Linked DNA regions of Notamacropus eugenii. The protein of the gene in region 1 purifies or fractionates together with the protein of each later gene. This does not show direct contact. Links are inferred from orthologs where the notes say so. Each region holds a gene or a part of one and is shown on either strand. Other genes may lie near its edges.

The links. The genes of interacting proteins can lie anywhere in the genome.
Region 2: the proteins of RHOD (region 1) and DIAPH2 purify together in Homo sapiens (co-immunoprecipitation; 3 studies listed by BioGRID and IntAct, with this or other methods). This does not show direct contact. The link is inferred for Notamacropus eugenii from reciprocal best matches to the Homo sapiens genes RHOD and DIAPH2.

What each region holds. Positions count from the first base shown.
Region 1 is NC_092873.1:19,533,646-19,541,587, reverse strand, and holds the start of RHOD (rho-related GTP-binding protein RhoD), read right to left. Parts: upstream 3,003-7,942; 5' UTR 2,744-3,002; coding exon 2,615-2,743; intron 1-2,614. Other genes in the region: uncharacterized protein, read left to right, coding at 6,847-6,912, 7,497-7,919. UniProt on the Homo sapiens protein: Involved in endosome dynamics. May coordinate membrane transport with the function of the cytoskeleton. Involved in the internalization and trafficking of activated tyrosine kinase receptors such as PDGFRB.
Region 2 is NC_092879.1:88,993,525-89,000,977, reverse strand, and holds the start of DIAPH2 (protein diaphanous homolog 2), read right to left. Parts: upstream 3,030-7,453; 5' UTR 2,996-3,029; coding exon 2,873-2,995; intron 1-2,872. UniProt on the Homo sapiens protein: Could be involved in oogenesis. Involved in the regulation of endosome dynamics.

The sequences.
Region 1 (7,942 bases):
GAGACTGGGACGCAGACCTTGTGATAGAGGGGCAAGCACAAGGTGGCTGAGAGAGCTCAGTGATCAGAGGCCTGGGCTGGCTTCCCCAAGATGTCCTCATCTCTGTTTCCTAGACCGGAGCGTTCCCCCACTTCTCCATCAGTGCCTCCCCAGGAGTGTGAAAGTGATGATGAGCTGATCTGATCCACTCAGGAGCTAGAGGGCCAGAGCCCCTCCTCCTTCTCCCAGGTCACTCAGAGGAGGGTTCTGGGGGGGAGGGGGAGGGGCACAGGGCCTGGCTCTGATTCTAGGAGAATTCCCTCAGGCTCAGGCAGGCCTTTGGAGAGCTGGGCCATGGCACCCTCCCACTCCCCATCCCCAGGGAAACAGAACCTTCCTGCAGGAGCTGTCTAGTCCCATCCCCCCCAACCCAGGGGTTCTGGTGCTGAAATTCACAGAGGGTAGATGGGCCTGCATGGCAAGAAGCAGCAGCCTAGCCTCAGCAAAGCCAAGACAAGAGAGAATTAGAGGGGCAGGAAAGGAGCAGGGACCACATTCTTCACTTAGAGCACAGTCTGGATAAAGGTCTGGAGGCCAGAGATGGAATGTCATGTCCAGAGCAGCTGAAGAATACATGGGTGATGAAGAAGGTAGAGTGGGCCAGTAAAAAGCTCTCTGATTTGGGGTCCATTACTCCCATGGTCCTCATCTGATTAAAGACCTTCCCAGTGTAATCACTTCTAGCCTTAGGATCCTATAAATTCATTGAAGAGATGGGGGACTATGGGTGTGGAGTAGTGCATATCCTAGCAGATACAACCATTTTGTTAGCTTTGCTGAAAAGGTTTTTTTTTTCTTTTTAATATTTATCAAAAGGAAACCTTGATAGGGAGGAGGAGAAAGGAAGGCTATATTTGTGAATGAACATGATGTCAAAATGAAAGGCATCATACATCATATATAATGAAATATGAAATAAGACTGGAAAAATAGAAGGGAGCCAGACTGGGAAGGGTTCAACTTTCCACCATTGTCCTCCAGGGCTTGAGGCTGTTGGTGAGGTTTGGGCCTGGAGGAAAGAGAGCCCCTCCCTTCCTTCCCTGAGGCTCCTTCCCTCAGTCTTTCTGTTCCGGGCAGCTAGGTGGTGCAGTGGATAGAGCACCAGTGCAGGAGTCAGGAGAACCTGAGTTCAAATCTCACCTCAGACACTTGACACTCACTAGCTGTGTGACCTTGGGCAAGTCACTTAACCCCAATTGCCTCATCCTGGGTCATGTCCAGTCATCCTGATGAATATCTGGTCACTGGATTCAGATGGCTCTGGAGGAGAAGTGAGGCTGGTGACCTGCACAGCCCTCCCTCACTCAAAACAAAGTCAAGTGCAAGTCATGTCATCATTTCTCTGATGGCCTGGTCTTCTTCGGCAACAAAGGATGAATACACACACAGCATTTTACACAAGGACGCCTCCCTTACCTGCCTTATAAACTGTGTCCCATCATTGTGGCTCCAGAGAAGGTGCCAACCTGTGGCAGTGGAGAGGGTTTGCTCATCTGAGAGATCCCTTTGCCAGTGAAACCCCAGCTCTAACCCCTGCCTCTCGCCTATGATGCCCATGATCTGCCAGGTTGGCATTTGTGGTCAGGATGCTCCGATCACTCCCCCTGGTGGCCCTTGGGATCCTGGGAGGAAGTGGAGGTAGGCTGCAGCTTAGGTGGGGGTTCAGGACAAAGAGAAGATAAGCCTGTGGTTAGACAGGGAGCTCCCCGCGGGCAGTAACTCCCTTTGCCTGAGGCCCAGGCTCAGTGCCCACTTGGCCTAGATGCCAGCATGGTGTTTGCTAAACAGTAAAGTGTTGAAACAAGATCATGTATAAAGGACATTTGTAAACCAGAAAATCAATGGAACGTGAGCACTCAGTTTAGAGATGAAAAGAGCTACAGCTGGGTTGGCCAGTGGGAAGTGCGCTGTACTTGCAGCTGGAAAGACCTGGTTCAGATACTACATCCTTCCCCTTCCTAGCTGTGTGACCCAGGGCAAATCACGTCCCTCTCTCAGCCTCAGTTTCCTTATCTGTAAAGTGGACGCAATCATATCGGGATCCTGAGATAATCCAGGGAAAGCTTTGCAAACCCCAAAGGGCTATGTCAGTGCTATTAACAGTAGCATTATTACTGTATCCCAGGTGAACAAAGGACAGCCCAGCCAGGGCATCAAGGAAAAGCTCTTGGGGTGAGTGAGGGGCTGATCTGGAAGGGAGTTCAGATGGGTAGAAGAGGCTAGAACAGGGGCTGGTGAAATGTTGTCTCAGCTGGTTCTGAGTTAGTCTTTGAAGGACCGGCTGGGGAGAGCAGCAGAAGGGGAAGGAACTGAGGCCAGCCTGGGCCTTTCTGCATCAAACCCTGAACATGCCAAGCTGAGGCAAACTGCTTGGGTCACTCATTCACCCTGCAGAAGTCCTGCCTCCCATCAGCAAGAAAGTGAACAGAGCTTGGGAAGGTCCCCACACACCCCCTGGCGCATTTCCCCTCTAGGATCTCTTAGGAGAAGGTTGGGGAGGAAGATGTGTGAATGTGAGGAGGGGACAAGGCATATGTATCCGTGTGTACCCAGCTGTATGGAAGTCAGGACTCACCTCAGGGAACTTTCCCTTGGCGAAGACCATCAGTAGAGACGTCTTGCCGCACCCCCCATCACCCACCAGGACCACCTTGATGGTAGGAACAGCTGGGTCCAAAGGCTGGGGCTCGTCGTCCCTTTGCATGCCGCCGGCCTCTGTGCTAGTCGGAGACCCTGTCCTTCAAAAGGCCCTGTCCAGCTCAGCAGGCATCTCTTTGGAAGGATGTGGCGGAAGGACTGTCAGGCTACCTCTCGCCCTGTCTGGGAACTCCTCTCGATCCTCTCTCTGCCTCCTAGAGCTGGGAGACTGCAGGGCCAGTGGGTGCCTGACTGCTCTCTGGAGAAGGCCACAGTCACTGAGCCACACAGCTCTCGCCCTGGCCCAACCCCTCTGTGACAGGCCCGGAAGGCTGCAGGTGTGTGAGCTCAGGAATGTGGAAGGGGCGGCACCACCTAGAGGAAGCCAGGAAGCTGGAGAACGCTTGGGTGAGCTGTGTGTGACATCTAGAGACAGTCAGGGTTAAGGTGTGGCCCACTCTGAAGATCCTAGCTCCAGCCAAGAGGCTACCTAGTCCCACTCTCTCGTTTGACAAGAGAAAAGTGGGGCCTGAAGAAGCCCAGTGGCTCGTGCTAAGATACCTGGGGAGGGGATGTTAGAGGGGGTCTGAAGCCTCTTCTCATTTCTGCCCTCCCAAAACTCATTTTACTACAGAGGAGACTGGAGGTATCCACAGGCTCTCAGAATGAGCCCCTTCACCCAAGCAGAGCAAGAAGGATTTCAGGGAGTGGGAGGGCCTTCCCTCTCCACCCCCAAATGTCCCCCCAAGGTAGTTTTATCCATCACTGGGGCTAGTGACCACCGTCCTGGGGAGGGGTCCCTTCAGTGAGCTCTGCCGGGCCAATCCTGTCTAGCTGGCGGGATCAGCCAGACTGGGGACCCCACACCAGGATGATGCTTTCCTCCCATCAGCCTGTGGGATGGGAAGGGTTCCTCCTCCCCAGCCTTGCCACCCTCCCCCACCCTACTACCCTTCACTTTCCAATGAGGCATTTAGATGAACTGCATGTAACTTTGTTAAAGGTTTTATTGAAGTATTTTGTCATTTCTAGAAATCTACACACACACCCAGGAACTGACCCCTCCCTTGTATCTAAGAAACCAGTTAAGCAGAAATAACTGATAAGGTGATCTCACCGGCCAGCGTCTACATCACTCTGCCCTAGCAGTCTCGGCCTCTTTTACCAGGAGCAGGGAGGAAGGGAGGGAAGGACAACTTGATGACGGGACCAGTGACTTAATGGTTATAGGAAACTCCTCCCAGTGAGCAATACCTTCTTTGATACCAATAATCTCCATAGTTCTTAGAGCCCAGAGAAGTTTAGTGAATTGCCCAGGGTCACACAGCCAATTTGCCTGACTCTGAGGCCAGCTCTCTACCCATCACACCACGCTGCCTCTTTCTTACTTGTAAGGTTAATCTTATTTTTCTTATCCAATTTCCTTTTATGTCATAATCACTTCTGAAAATCTCCTTCCTCCATCCCTTTTAACAAAGATTTTAAAGTAGGTAAAAAGCAGTTCAGCAAAAACCGACCCATTCTGTAGTCTGGGGTATCTCCTTTTGCTAGTACAAGATGTGGTGCCCTGAATATTCTGTGTCTGAGAGGCCCTTCTTGTGCCTCTGACCTCCTCTGAAGTCTGTGTGTAAGTCTCCCCGGGATCTCTGGGTTCAGGGGTGTGGACATTTAATCCCCTCCCACTGCATAATTCCAAATGGCTTTCCAGAGTGGTTGGCCCATCTCAGAATTCTGTCTACAGTGCTCATAGGCCTGCTGTCTCCAAGTCCCTGAGAGTTGTCAGTGTGCATTTTCAAAGGGCCTCCTGGAGACAGCACTTTTGGCAAACCCCAGATGCCCTACCCTAGTTTATCATATAGCCAAGCAGGCCATGGGCTGTAGGGGGAAGACCAGCTCAGATATACACCAAGTGCATGACCACAGGCCAGTGTGAGCCTCATCTCACAAAGCCTCAGTTTCCTTTTTAGTAAAATACTTAGAATACCATGGAGGAAAGCACTTAAATAAAACCTAAAAGTACTCTAGGAGTAGGTATTGGTCATCTTCCAGTGAGCCTGAGCAGTGACCCATCGTTGTAATGGGGCTGACAGGAGGGTGCTGGCCCTTTCCCTGGCCTAGGATGGTGGGGGGAAGAACTTGCTCTGCTCTCTGACTGCCCCAAGCTGCACCCCAGTTCCCCTCAGCTGACCAGGTAATTCACAGAGCAGAGGTCTGTGCTTCCCACATTGTTCTCAGAACACTTCCCGGTATGAGCCTTGGACTAGACATCCGAAAGATCTAGATTCCAGGTCTGATGCTTTCAGCTAATGAGCTGTTATCTTGTCCAAGTCCTTTCCCCTCAATGTTGGGAGCCTCAGTTTCTTTGGATATAGCCCTGGAAGGGACTTCAAAAGTCATTGAATTCAATGCCCCGATTTTACAGTTTGAAACTGAGGCCCAGGCCGGTCATGTGACTTGCCCAATGTCACACCGTGGGTATCAGAGGTCCTCTGGAGCTAGGGTTTCTTGTATTGTTCCCCACACACACACCCCCACCGTGTTCCAGGGAGGTAGTGGAGACAGGGCCTGGGTCTGAGGTTGTGCTGCAGAGGGGGATGTGCAAATCATCCAGACAGAAAAGATGATTAAATTCACAACACACAAGCAAGGTCTACGGGATCAACTGCAGCTGAATTAAGAGGGAATGAGGAAAGGTTTCCTGGAGAAGGTAGGATGTAAGCTGGTACTTGAAGGAAGTCAGGAAGGGGGATAAGGACGGAGACAGTCCCAGACAAGGGGCACAGCCAGGCAGCCAGTGTCACTGAGCTGAAGAATACATGGGGTGGGGGTGGGGGTGTAAGAAGGCTGGAAAGGAGGGCAGATTGTGAAGGATGTTGAAAGCCGGAGGATTTGATTTGATTTTTATCGCTGGAGGTGATCAGGAGCCACTGGGGTTTATTGAGTTGGGGGGAGGGGACATGACATGCATGTAAAGTCTGGCTCTGCCTGGGCCAAGTTGTCAGAGCCCAAACTTCCCTGTTCATTGGGCCACTTCTGGCTCAGAAGGCACCTGGAGGGTGGGGCCAGCACCTGGCATAGCCCAGGTGTGCCCAGCTCAGCCCTGGCACCAACACCCTTTTGCTCAGTCCAGCCTCCAGAGAAAGTGATGAGTCACCTTCCTAAGCCCACGTTGGGCGCCTGGGGAAATCTCTGCACAAGTCCCTCTTGCCCTGATTGGCCAAGAGCTTCCCATGGGTGCCAGGCCGGTTCCCTGAAGTTGTTTTCAGGAGGTGGGCAAACGCATTGGTGGTACCCCAGGAACCAAGGTCTGTCTAAGTTCAGTAACTTGTTTACTTGTGGATTATGGGGCAGGACACCACGGCTCCTCGTGGGGTGTATTGGTGCCCAGGCCAGACCTAATAAGGTTAGTCCCTCCACAAAGGTTCCGGGGTGGTGCCACACTCCATGCTCCACCGTGGGCGGTGGGCTCTTCTTGGAGGTGGCATTCATAGCCGGCTGCAAGAAGAGGCACATAAGGAGATCCGGGTCTGAGCTTTGGTCTTTTAAAGGTTATATCTACCCTCAAAAAAAGGAAGATCGTTTGTGGGGGTACCTCTCCTGGAGTCCACCTTCCATGATCCACGCCCTCCGTAGGAAAGACAATTGGCAAGCAGGAGCCAGGGCAGGGTGACCTAAAGTCGGGTCGGATAGCGGGGCAATGCTGATACAATCGAGCGTTAGGCCTGAAGGAATTGGGGGAGGGAAGATGGAGGGGGTGAGGGGAGTGAAATCAATCAGTGCAGGGTGAGAGGGAGCCGATGACCGAGGCAGCCTTAAGGCCCGGAAGCCGCCGTTTCCATCCCACCCCGGAATTAGGCTGTCCCTGTGAACCTGGACAAGTCCCTCACCCTAGCTTCTCAGAACGCTCAAAGAGGTGGGGGTGATGCTCTATCCCCGAACCGACATAAGCATGGCATGTCCTTCAGGGCCCGGCATTCGGCTGGGCTCTGACTGAAGATGGGGCTCCCTCTGGCTGGTGGGCTGCTATGCAAAGGTGTGGAGGTGGGAGATGGGACAGTGGGCCATGTGACCCAGAGGCAGGCATCGGTGTTAGCTAGGGCCGCGTGCTGCTGCAGCTGTTCGGATCTGAATTCGAGCTCTGCCGAAATGGCCCTGAACCTTTCTCGTCAGGCGCCTCTACTAGGGCGGTCTTCACCTGCTCCTCTATTGGAAGACATTTATTTAACACCAGAAGAGGTCAGAGGCCAAGAAGCCTGGGGTGGAGGGGTGGGGGGGCAGGCAAATGCAGGCGAGTTCCAGGAGCCATTGTCCATTGTTTGGATCCAGGCTTTCCCCCTGCCCCCCCCCACCCCGCCCCTAGCCCAGATGCCCCCCCCCGCCCAACTGCCCCCCCCCCGCCCCCTAGCCCAGATGCCCCCCCAGCCCAGATGCCCCCTCCCGCCCCTAGCCCAGATGCCCCCCCAGCCCAGATGCCCCCCCCCGCCCCTAGCCCAGATGCCCCCCCAGCCCAGATGCCCCCCCAGCCCAGCTGCCCCCCCCCCGCCCCTAGCCCAGATGCCCCCCCAGCCCCTAGCCCAGATGCCCCCCCACCCAGCTGCCCCCCCCGCCCCTAGCCCAGATGCCCCCCCACCCAGCTGCCCCCCCCCGCCCCTAGCCCAGCTGCCCCCCCCGCCCCTAGCCCAGATGCCCCCCCAGCCCAGCTGCGCCCCCCGCCCCCTAGCCCATGCCCTTCTGCTCCCAGCTTTGCGGGGGCGGGCAGCGCTCGAGCCCCCCCCCCCCCCCCCCCCCACACTTTGCAGGGATGACTCGGCTCTTTGCAGATCGCCCAGAAACCTCGTGGGCTCGGTAAGCGGTTGGATGTTGCTAGGCGAAGAAGGCGTCAGGCCTCCCTGCGGAGCGCAGGTGGCCACGCCATTGGCGCAGGCTCTGCAGCCAATCAACTGCCAGCCCGGGGCGTCAGCCGTCTCCGGGCAGCACCAGGGCGTGTCCCCTCCCCTGCGCTGCGGAAAAGGGGCTGTGGAGCCCATCTCCCCCAGGAAGGCTACTTTCTCCTAGACTTCTTCCTCTGCCCCCCGGGGCGTCCCAGGACCCGAGAGGTCACCGGAGAACTTACAGAGGGGGACACTGAGGACCCGGGCAGTGACACCCGCATCACAGAGAAGCCAAGCTCCCAGGCCCTCCCCCACCAGAATGCAGGGCCCGTTCTGAATCTTTCCCCTCCCAGAACAGGGCCTGGCACCTAGGAAGTGCTTTGTTGTTCGATTTC
Region 2 (7,453 bases), on another chromosome or scaffold:
CTACTTTCTCTGCAAACAGTTGGTTGTCCATAGCTGTGCATGGCTAAATGACTTGCCTAGGTTTACACAGGGCAAGTGCCTGTCAGAGGAAGGACTTGAACACTCCCAGCTTGTAGCCCAAGTTTCTATCCACTATTTCCTGCTTGCCTTTCAACACTAAAGAAATTAAATGTTTCCCCAAAAAGTCACAAGTCTTTTATCTATAATATGTTGTTCTCATAGGTTTGTTTTTATTTGCTTTGCCCACTTGGCTTTTAAGATATACCGTTCAATTTTTTATGCTGCTTAACTTACATTTAGTCTAAGAAAAAAGAAATTTAAAAATTATATAGTAACAACAGTGTCTCCTTGCTTAAAGCAGTGCTCCATATGGGATAGTTTAAAGACCAATGGGAGCCAGAGCAGACACTATCACATCCTGCTAATAGCTAGTTTTACCACCACAGATCTATGTCTTTCTTTGTCTAAGACAAGTGAAACATACAAGATGAAACAGGACAAAAAGCCAAAGGGAGTTAAGAACAGAATTGAGGTGCTATTACCAACAAAGAGAAACACTTTTCCTTGACAGCAGGCTTCTTAAAAGCAAAAGCTTCTCCTTAAATGGCCTGACCAATTATTTGCAACTACTAAAGAATTTTTAAGGTTAGGTAAAAAGGTAGTTCTAGCATTCTAGCAAAACCCAAATGACCAACATTACTACAAATGCAGAAGAGCAGAACTTGTAGGCTGATTGATTTAGAGCTATAAGGAACCTGAGGGCATTGAGCCTCACCCTCTCATTCTATACAAGAGGAAGTGAAAAGGGGAAAGGGCCTAGGTCAGTTTTAAGTGACATGCCCAAAGTCACACATGTAATACAGTATGTATTATGGGAATCCAGAGGCTCTGACTCCTGATCCAGCATGCCTTCCAACACACACCCTCCAAAAGTCACCAGGCTCTGGTAAGCCCCTCACACAAAACCTGGAAGTTTCCTTTACGCAGATATTACAGAGAGGTTCAAACGGCACCGAACTAGATAGGAGCCAAACAAAAACCAATTCAAGCAAAGCTTGCTGGCTGAGATGAGTCATTTACAGAGTTTGTGCAACTCAGAACAGAATTTGTTTCTGTATCAGAGTTGGAAAAAAACAAAGTGGGTGCTCACTGATTGAGGAAAGGCTGAAGAAATTGTGGTGTATGGATGTAATGAATATCACTGTGCAAAGTAAAGTCATTAAGATGAATTTAGAGAAGCATGAGGAAATTCCCATGACTGATACAGGCTGAATCAAGGAGAATTAGAATATTCACAATGACTAAAAAAGTCATACTAAAAATATGAGAATGAAGACAAATACCAAGTATTTAGTGACCTATCTTGGACAAGAGTTGATCAAATGCACCTCCCTTGTTTTGGAAAAAAAGTGGGGGAAACACATCTCACTCACTGCCAACCATGACAGAAAAATTGGCTCAAGAAAAATGCAGGTGGGTTTCTGTGGCAAGCCAGATGACATCTTCCATTATCTTTTCAGATGAAGCAAGCAGTTATGGAAATGGCTTCTCACATGCAAGCTACTGCAGTTGACCAAGAGTTAGAGATGGGGTCAAGGAGATGAGTGTTCAAATTCTAGCTGCTGCCCTACTCAGTGTCTATATGCCAGCTCAGATGGAGGCCTCTCTGTAGAGCACTATGTAGTAGAAGGTGTGCAGGAATAAAGGAAGATGCCTCTATCTCTTGGCTTGGTCATTTTCTTTGGCGGTTCCCCAGGAGTGAAGTACTGTCTGTCATCTCCACTTCTGGCTTCCCTCAGGTCCCACCTAAAATTCCAGCTTCCTTCCACAGGTAGCCTTTCCCTACCTTTCTCAATTCCAGGGTCTTCCTCCTGCTCATTATTTCCTATTCATTCCATATAAAGTTTGTACATTGTTTGCTGGTAGGCTCCCCCGTTAGGTTGGCAAGTGAGGGCAGGGGCTGTCTTTGGCCTAACCCTACATGCTTAACAGAGTCTAAATGTGTGCTTCAGAAATGCTTATTGACTACATGTCGGCCCAGGTATCTACTTCACAGTTATAAAGCTCCCAGGAAAATGTGAAGTAAATCAAAGAACACACTGTATGGAGGATGGATGTGTACGAAATCTCTAAATGTCCAAACGGAGTGACCCTATCCAATTCTCCTCCAATGATGTTAACTGACAAGTTACTATCAACTCCAAACTTCCAGCGTCGCCTCCTTCCTGTGCGGACTGAGTCACAAGGGAGGCCCAGGCTCGCCCTCCAACAAGGGCAGGGTGTAGGGGGAAGCTGCTGCACGATTGCCCAACACGATCCCTTCCTTTCCTCGGGCAGCGGCAGGAAGTGGCTGCAGCCACTCAAACTTGGAGCCGGCTGCCAGGGGCTCTCAAACTTTCTGTTGGCGGCCCACGAGAACCCCACCCACCCCCGCTGCCAGGGCTCCTCACGACTGGTGCCCAACCGCACCAGGGGAAAGGGGGTAACTAAAGTGAGAACAGGAGCGAAGGAAAGAAAGAGAAAAGTAAGGAGAGGGAGGCAGACACAAGCGTGTGTGGACGGCTGCTCTGGCAAGTTCTGGGAGAGCAGAGAAGGAAGGGGGGAGGAGGAAGGGAGACATCGGAGAGGTTCCCGGGGGGCTCCCCCTCCCCAAGCTCGGTGACAAGCAGCAGCTACAAAGAGGGGTGGGCGGACAGTGGGCGCGGGCGCGGGCGGGCACGCGCACAGGCACACACCCGCGCGCCCGCTCCTTCGGGGGCTCCGCCCGCCCCCCTCCCCCGCGGACGGTGGGGGGGAAGCCTCGCGCGCGGCGATCCCGGGGGCTCCCCTCCCCCCCGCCCCACCCCCACCCCCCCGGGCAGGGCACACTCACCAGCTTGGGCTTGTTCTTGGTCTCCTCGTCGCCGGCGGCCCGGCCCCCAGTGCTTCGCTTGCCGCTCCGGCCGCCGCCGGGCTCCTCGCCGCCGGGGCCCGCCGCCGTCCCGGGCTGCTCCATCTTTCCCGGCCCCGGTCACCTGCGCCCCGCACCCCGCCCCGCCCTGAGCCGAGCTCGCCTCCCGACCCCGCCCGGCCCGCCCCTGGGGGCGCGGCCGCCGCCCTCGGGCCCCGGGGCGTCGGGCGAACCCCCGCGCCGAGCCGCGCCGCTCTCCTAGGAGGACGGCCGAGGGGCGCCGGTGGTTCTAGGAGGGCCTCGGCACTTGCGAGGCGGCCGGGGAGCCGCTGTCAGGCGCCCGGCCGGGGAAAGCACAGCTTCCGACTCCGCCGCTGAGTCGGGCCGCGCTACTGAGCATGCCCGGCACGGCTAGAGCCGCGCCGCCCGAGCCGCGCTGCCCGCCCGTCCGCCTGTCCGGCCGCCGGCTGTTGGTCCTGCCGTCCGGCGCCCGCCCTCCGCCTCTCAGAGTGCGCCTGGCACTTCCCGGGGACGGGACAGCGAGCGGGGGAGGGGGAGGGAAGGCGCGGGGAGGCGCTGACCCGGGGGAGGAGCCCATCCTTCGGATGGGGAAGCGGAGGCCGACGGAGGAGGCAAAAGTTGCGCTGACAGCCGGGAAGGCGCGGGAGGTCATGCCTGGTCAGGGCCACCTCGACTCCCACTCCACCCACGCTTAGGAGCTTTCGGAAGGCAAGGTAGTGAACTGGAAAGAGATTTGCTTCGAAGCTGGCCTCGACCACCTACTGCTTGTATGACCTCGGACTTTACTACCTTGGGTGACCTTGACCAACTCACTAGCCCGCCCTAGGACTCAGTTTCCCCTATATGAAAAATGAAGTCATTGAAATAGACGATCTCGAAAGTCCCTTCCAAACTTAGTTCTGTTATTGGTTCCCCAACTAGTATCCCTTGGAAAGTCACCAGAAACGTGGCTTTACAGTCTCTCCACTCCCAATATCAACACGATGGCCAAACCCATACTCCTAATGTGCAAATCGAACCATATCATTCCCTGTTGGTACTCGGTAAACTCTAGTGGTCCCCTATGGCCTGTAAGATCAAATAAATTCCTCTACCTGTTAAAGCCCCTGACCTGCCTTTTCAGCCTTTATCACACAGGGCTCCTCCTCATGCATACATAGGATCTAGCCGAATTGACCTTTTCCCTGTTTCTCACACACAGCACTCCATTTTCAGTCTCTATGCCTTTTTGTTGATTGTCTCCCAAGCCTAAAATTCACTCCACCTCTCCAGTTTCCTTCAAACCTCTGCACAAGCTCCTGATCCCTCAGGCATGTTTCCCCTCCTCCCATACATTCCCCTTATATTTGTTTTTAATCCCTTTGTATATGTCCATTTCCATCCAGTAGAACGTAAACTCTTTTGAGAGCAAAAGGCTTGCAGTTGGGTCTTTTTGTAAGCCCAGCACAGTGCTAGGCACTTAATAAAAGTTCGCTGCTTGATTGCCCAGACAGATTGACACTACGTACCTATTTATTCAAATACAGGGAGATCACGTGTCAGATAATCACAAAGTACTGTCTAAACATGTCCCCCTCTAACGTTTTATCGTGCCATGCAGTGGAATACAAGCTCGCAAAGGTTTTACCAGAAAAGTGCAAGATAACTGCTACTTATGCAGCACCTTAAGGTTTGTAAGGCATTTCGCAGTCTCACCAGATTCTCAACAACCCTATCAGATAAATACTACAGATCCCCACCATTGATCAGAAGACCTTGAGACTCTAAGAAGTTATGTAACTTTCTCGGCCATGTCCAATTCCTGCCACTTTGACCAAACCACACTGTTTCTTGAACTAGAAAAGCTTTGACAGTGGGTGCTGCTCGAAGGTCAGCAAGGAGAGGGCATTAACTCTCTTGGTCTGATAAGTATTTGCTGAGGACAAATGAGATGCATATAAACAAACTAGCTGCTTAAGGGAAGTGGAAAACGAGCTTGAATTAACATAGATTTTGAACTGGGGGGTCTGCAGACCAGGCAGATCACCCCACTTATATATACAGAATAATGGATTACGCTTGCAAAAATGTAAGAAAAAACTATCTAAAGAAACCCACCAAAAGTACAATTGGCTTCCTGGGGAGATGTTGAGTTTCGCATCCCTGAAGGAATTTAAATGCGAACTGGCTCAGTCAAGAGCTGTATAGGAGATGGGCTCCTAGTCAGATATGGGCTTGATTAGATAGCTTCTGAAGGCCACTGCATCTCTAGGATCCTTTGGCCTTGTTATCAAATGGGAACAGAAGGGACTGTGACACAAGTGGCATCAATTCAGATATGGTTGTATAGTTTATGTAAAGGTGACATGGCTTCAGATTGAAAGTTCTGTTGTTTGGGTTTGATATTATCAGGATAATCGACATCTTCAAAGGAACTCGATTGTTTTTGAATAAACTGAAAAGAGATGTTCCTGATCAATTGTGTTTGTATTTTACTTTAAACTCAACCCCTAGCTCTTTTAATTCTTGGTGTTTATTTTTCAGTATTTTGTTCTGTTTAATGTCAACAATGAAAACCCTTTCAAGACAGGGGGGACATTGACCTCTGAAGCCAAAACACCAGTGTTACTGCTGCTCTCTAGCAAGGACACAGTCAGGTGATTCTGCAACTGGCACCACCTCATCTGGAGTCTCAGAAACAACCTTGCCCCACCTACATGCCTCTCTTTTCATTTCTGCCTTCTTGGGAAACAAAGAGAGGCTAGGGCAGAGAGAAGTACCTGAGCCTTAGGGCAGTATGAAGAAAGGAGATACCGCCCACAGCTGGGATTCCATAAAGTTATGCAAAACTACTGGCCTATTTGGTTTCTTCTGTGGTTCCTTCTCCCTTATAGATCCCTGTAGTCTAGGTTCTAGAGAATATAAAAGTGTCAGAGCTGGGGGAGATACTTCAATGGAACCATGACATCACCAAGTCTTCTCTCTTCCCCCCCCCCACCCCCACCCGCCCTTTCCTCCATGGGAATACTCCCTCCAATGGGGTAAATTGGAAAACCTACCTACCACCTTATCCTGAACAATTCAAGTGCCCACATTTCCACAGAGGATCTGCCCAATGCATTGGAGGCCTTCCTCTGCTGCAGCATAGGGAATGTCCTTCTGTTCTCTCTCATTCTAACTACATGTTCAGCCACCTCCTTTTCTAATTATATTGAACACTTCCTTGATTTTGAGATACGAAATGTGATTAAATTAACACCTGAATTAATTCAGGAACAGTTATATGCTAGACTTCCCCTTTATGATGCCTTCCTCCCAGAATCCCTAGCTTCTTTCCAAGCTCAGTTCAAGCACCCTTTCATAAATGAGGCCTTTTCTAATTCCCCCTCCCCAACTTCCAGTTCTCCCTTCCAAGAAAGTTCTTGGACTTCATAGATATTTATCTGCATACATGTTGTTTTCCCCATTAGAAGGTAAGCCTCTTGATTAATGTTTTTCTGCAAGAAATGGTGAATATGATGAATACAGAGAAGCATGAACTGTTGGCAGTCAGGAAAACAGCACAGATGACTACACCAATGTAAACCAGAAGGACAACTGAAGAACAACCCCTCTTATTCCCATCCCCTCTTTTCTGCTGCTGTGGCTGCTATGGGTTCCTCCCCCCCTTCCCCCTCTGCTGCCCTGGGACTAGGGCTGGACCACTCCACTCTCCCACATTGGTCCCACAGGCTTTTTCTACTGACCTTCCAATTTGTCCTCGGCGTTTTAGGGTCCTGAAGTCTGGAAACTGTCACAGGCATGAGAAATTCAGTCTCCCCAAGGTCTACTACTCAGGTTCTGTCTGTGCCCACTCTGGACTGCGCGCTCTGCCCCCAGTGTGCCACAGTAGACACTTCCTGGGGACCTTTCAGGCTGTCTTGGGCTGGGGATTTGCTTCACTCCATCATTCTCTGGGTTATGCAGCTCCAGAATTTGTTTAGAGCCATTTTTGACAGGTATTTGACTGGGCTTTGGGGGCAGTGCTCTAGAAAGTGAGTGCTATTACTCTGCTATCTTGGCTCTGCCCCCTATTTTCAGATTATTTTTCAGTGTATTGATCTTACTAATTGTTTTTTCCTCTTCATCCTTTTTTTTTCCTTTAAAAATATTTCTTTTATGGGAAAGCTCTCTGGGAGGGGAATAGAAAAATCTAAATGATATTAAAAACAAAAGATATTTTTAAAATTACTTGAAAAAAAATGAATGTAAGCCCATTGAGGTCAAGGTCTATCTTTGTATTCCCAGTGCCTGGCATATTCATGCCTGGAATAAGGACTTTCCTTAATAAGTGATTGTTGAATGATTCAAAAATCATAGAAGCTAGTTTAAAAGTGCTTATGAAATCACCTAGTTCAGTCTTCTAGGAATCATATTTGCATGGGTTTTCTCCCCTAATAATGTGGAGTATAATTCATCTCAATCAAGAGATGAACTCATTTCTTACCTTCTACCTCCCCATCTATTTAACACAGTGCCTGTCACATAGTAGGCACTTAATAAATGTTGTCTCTTGACTTGCTG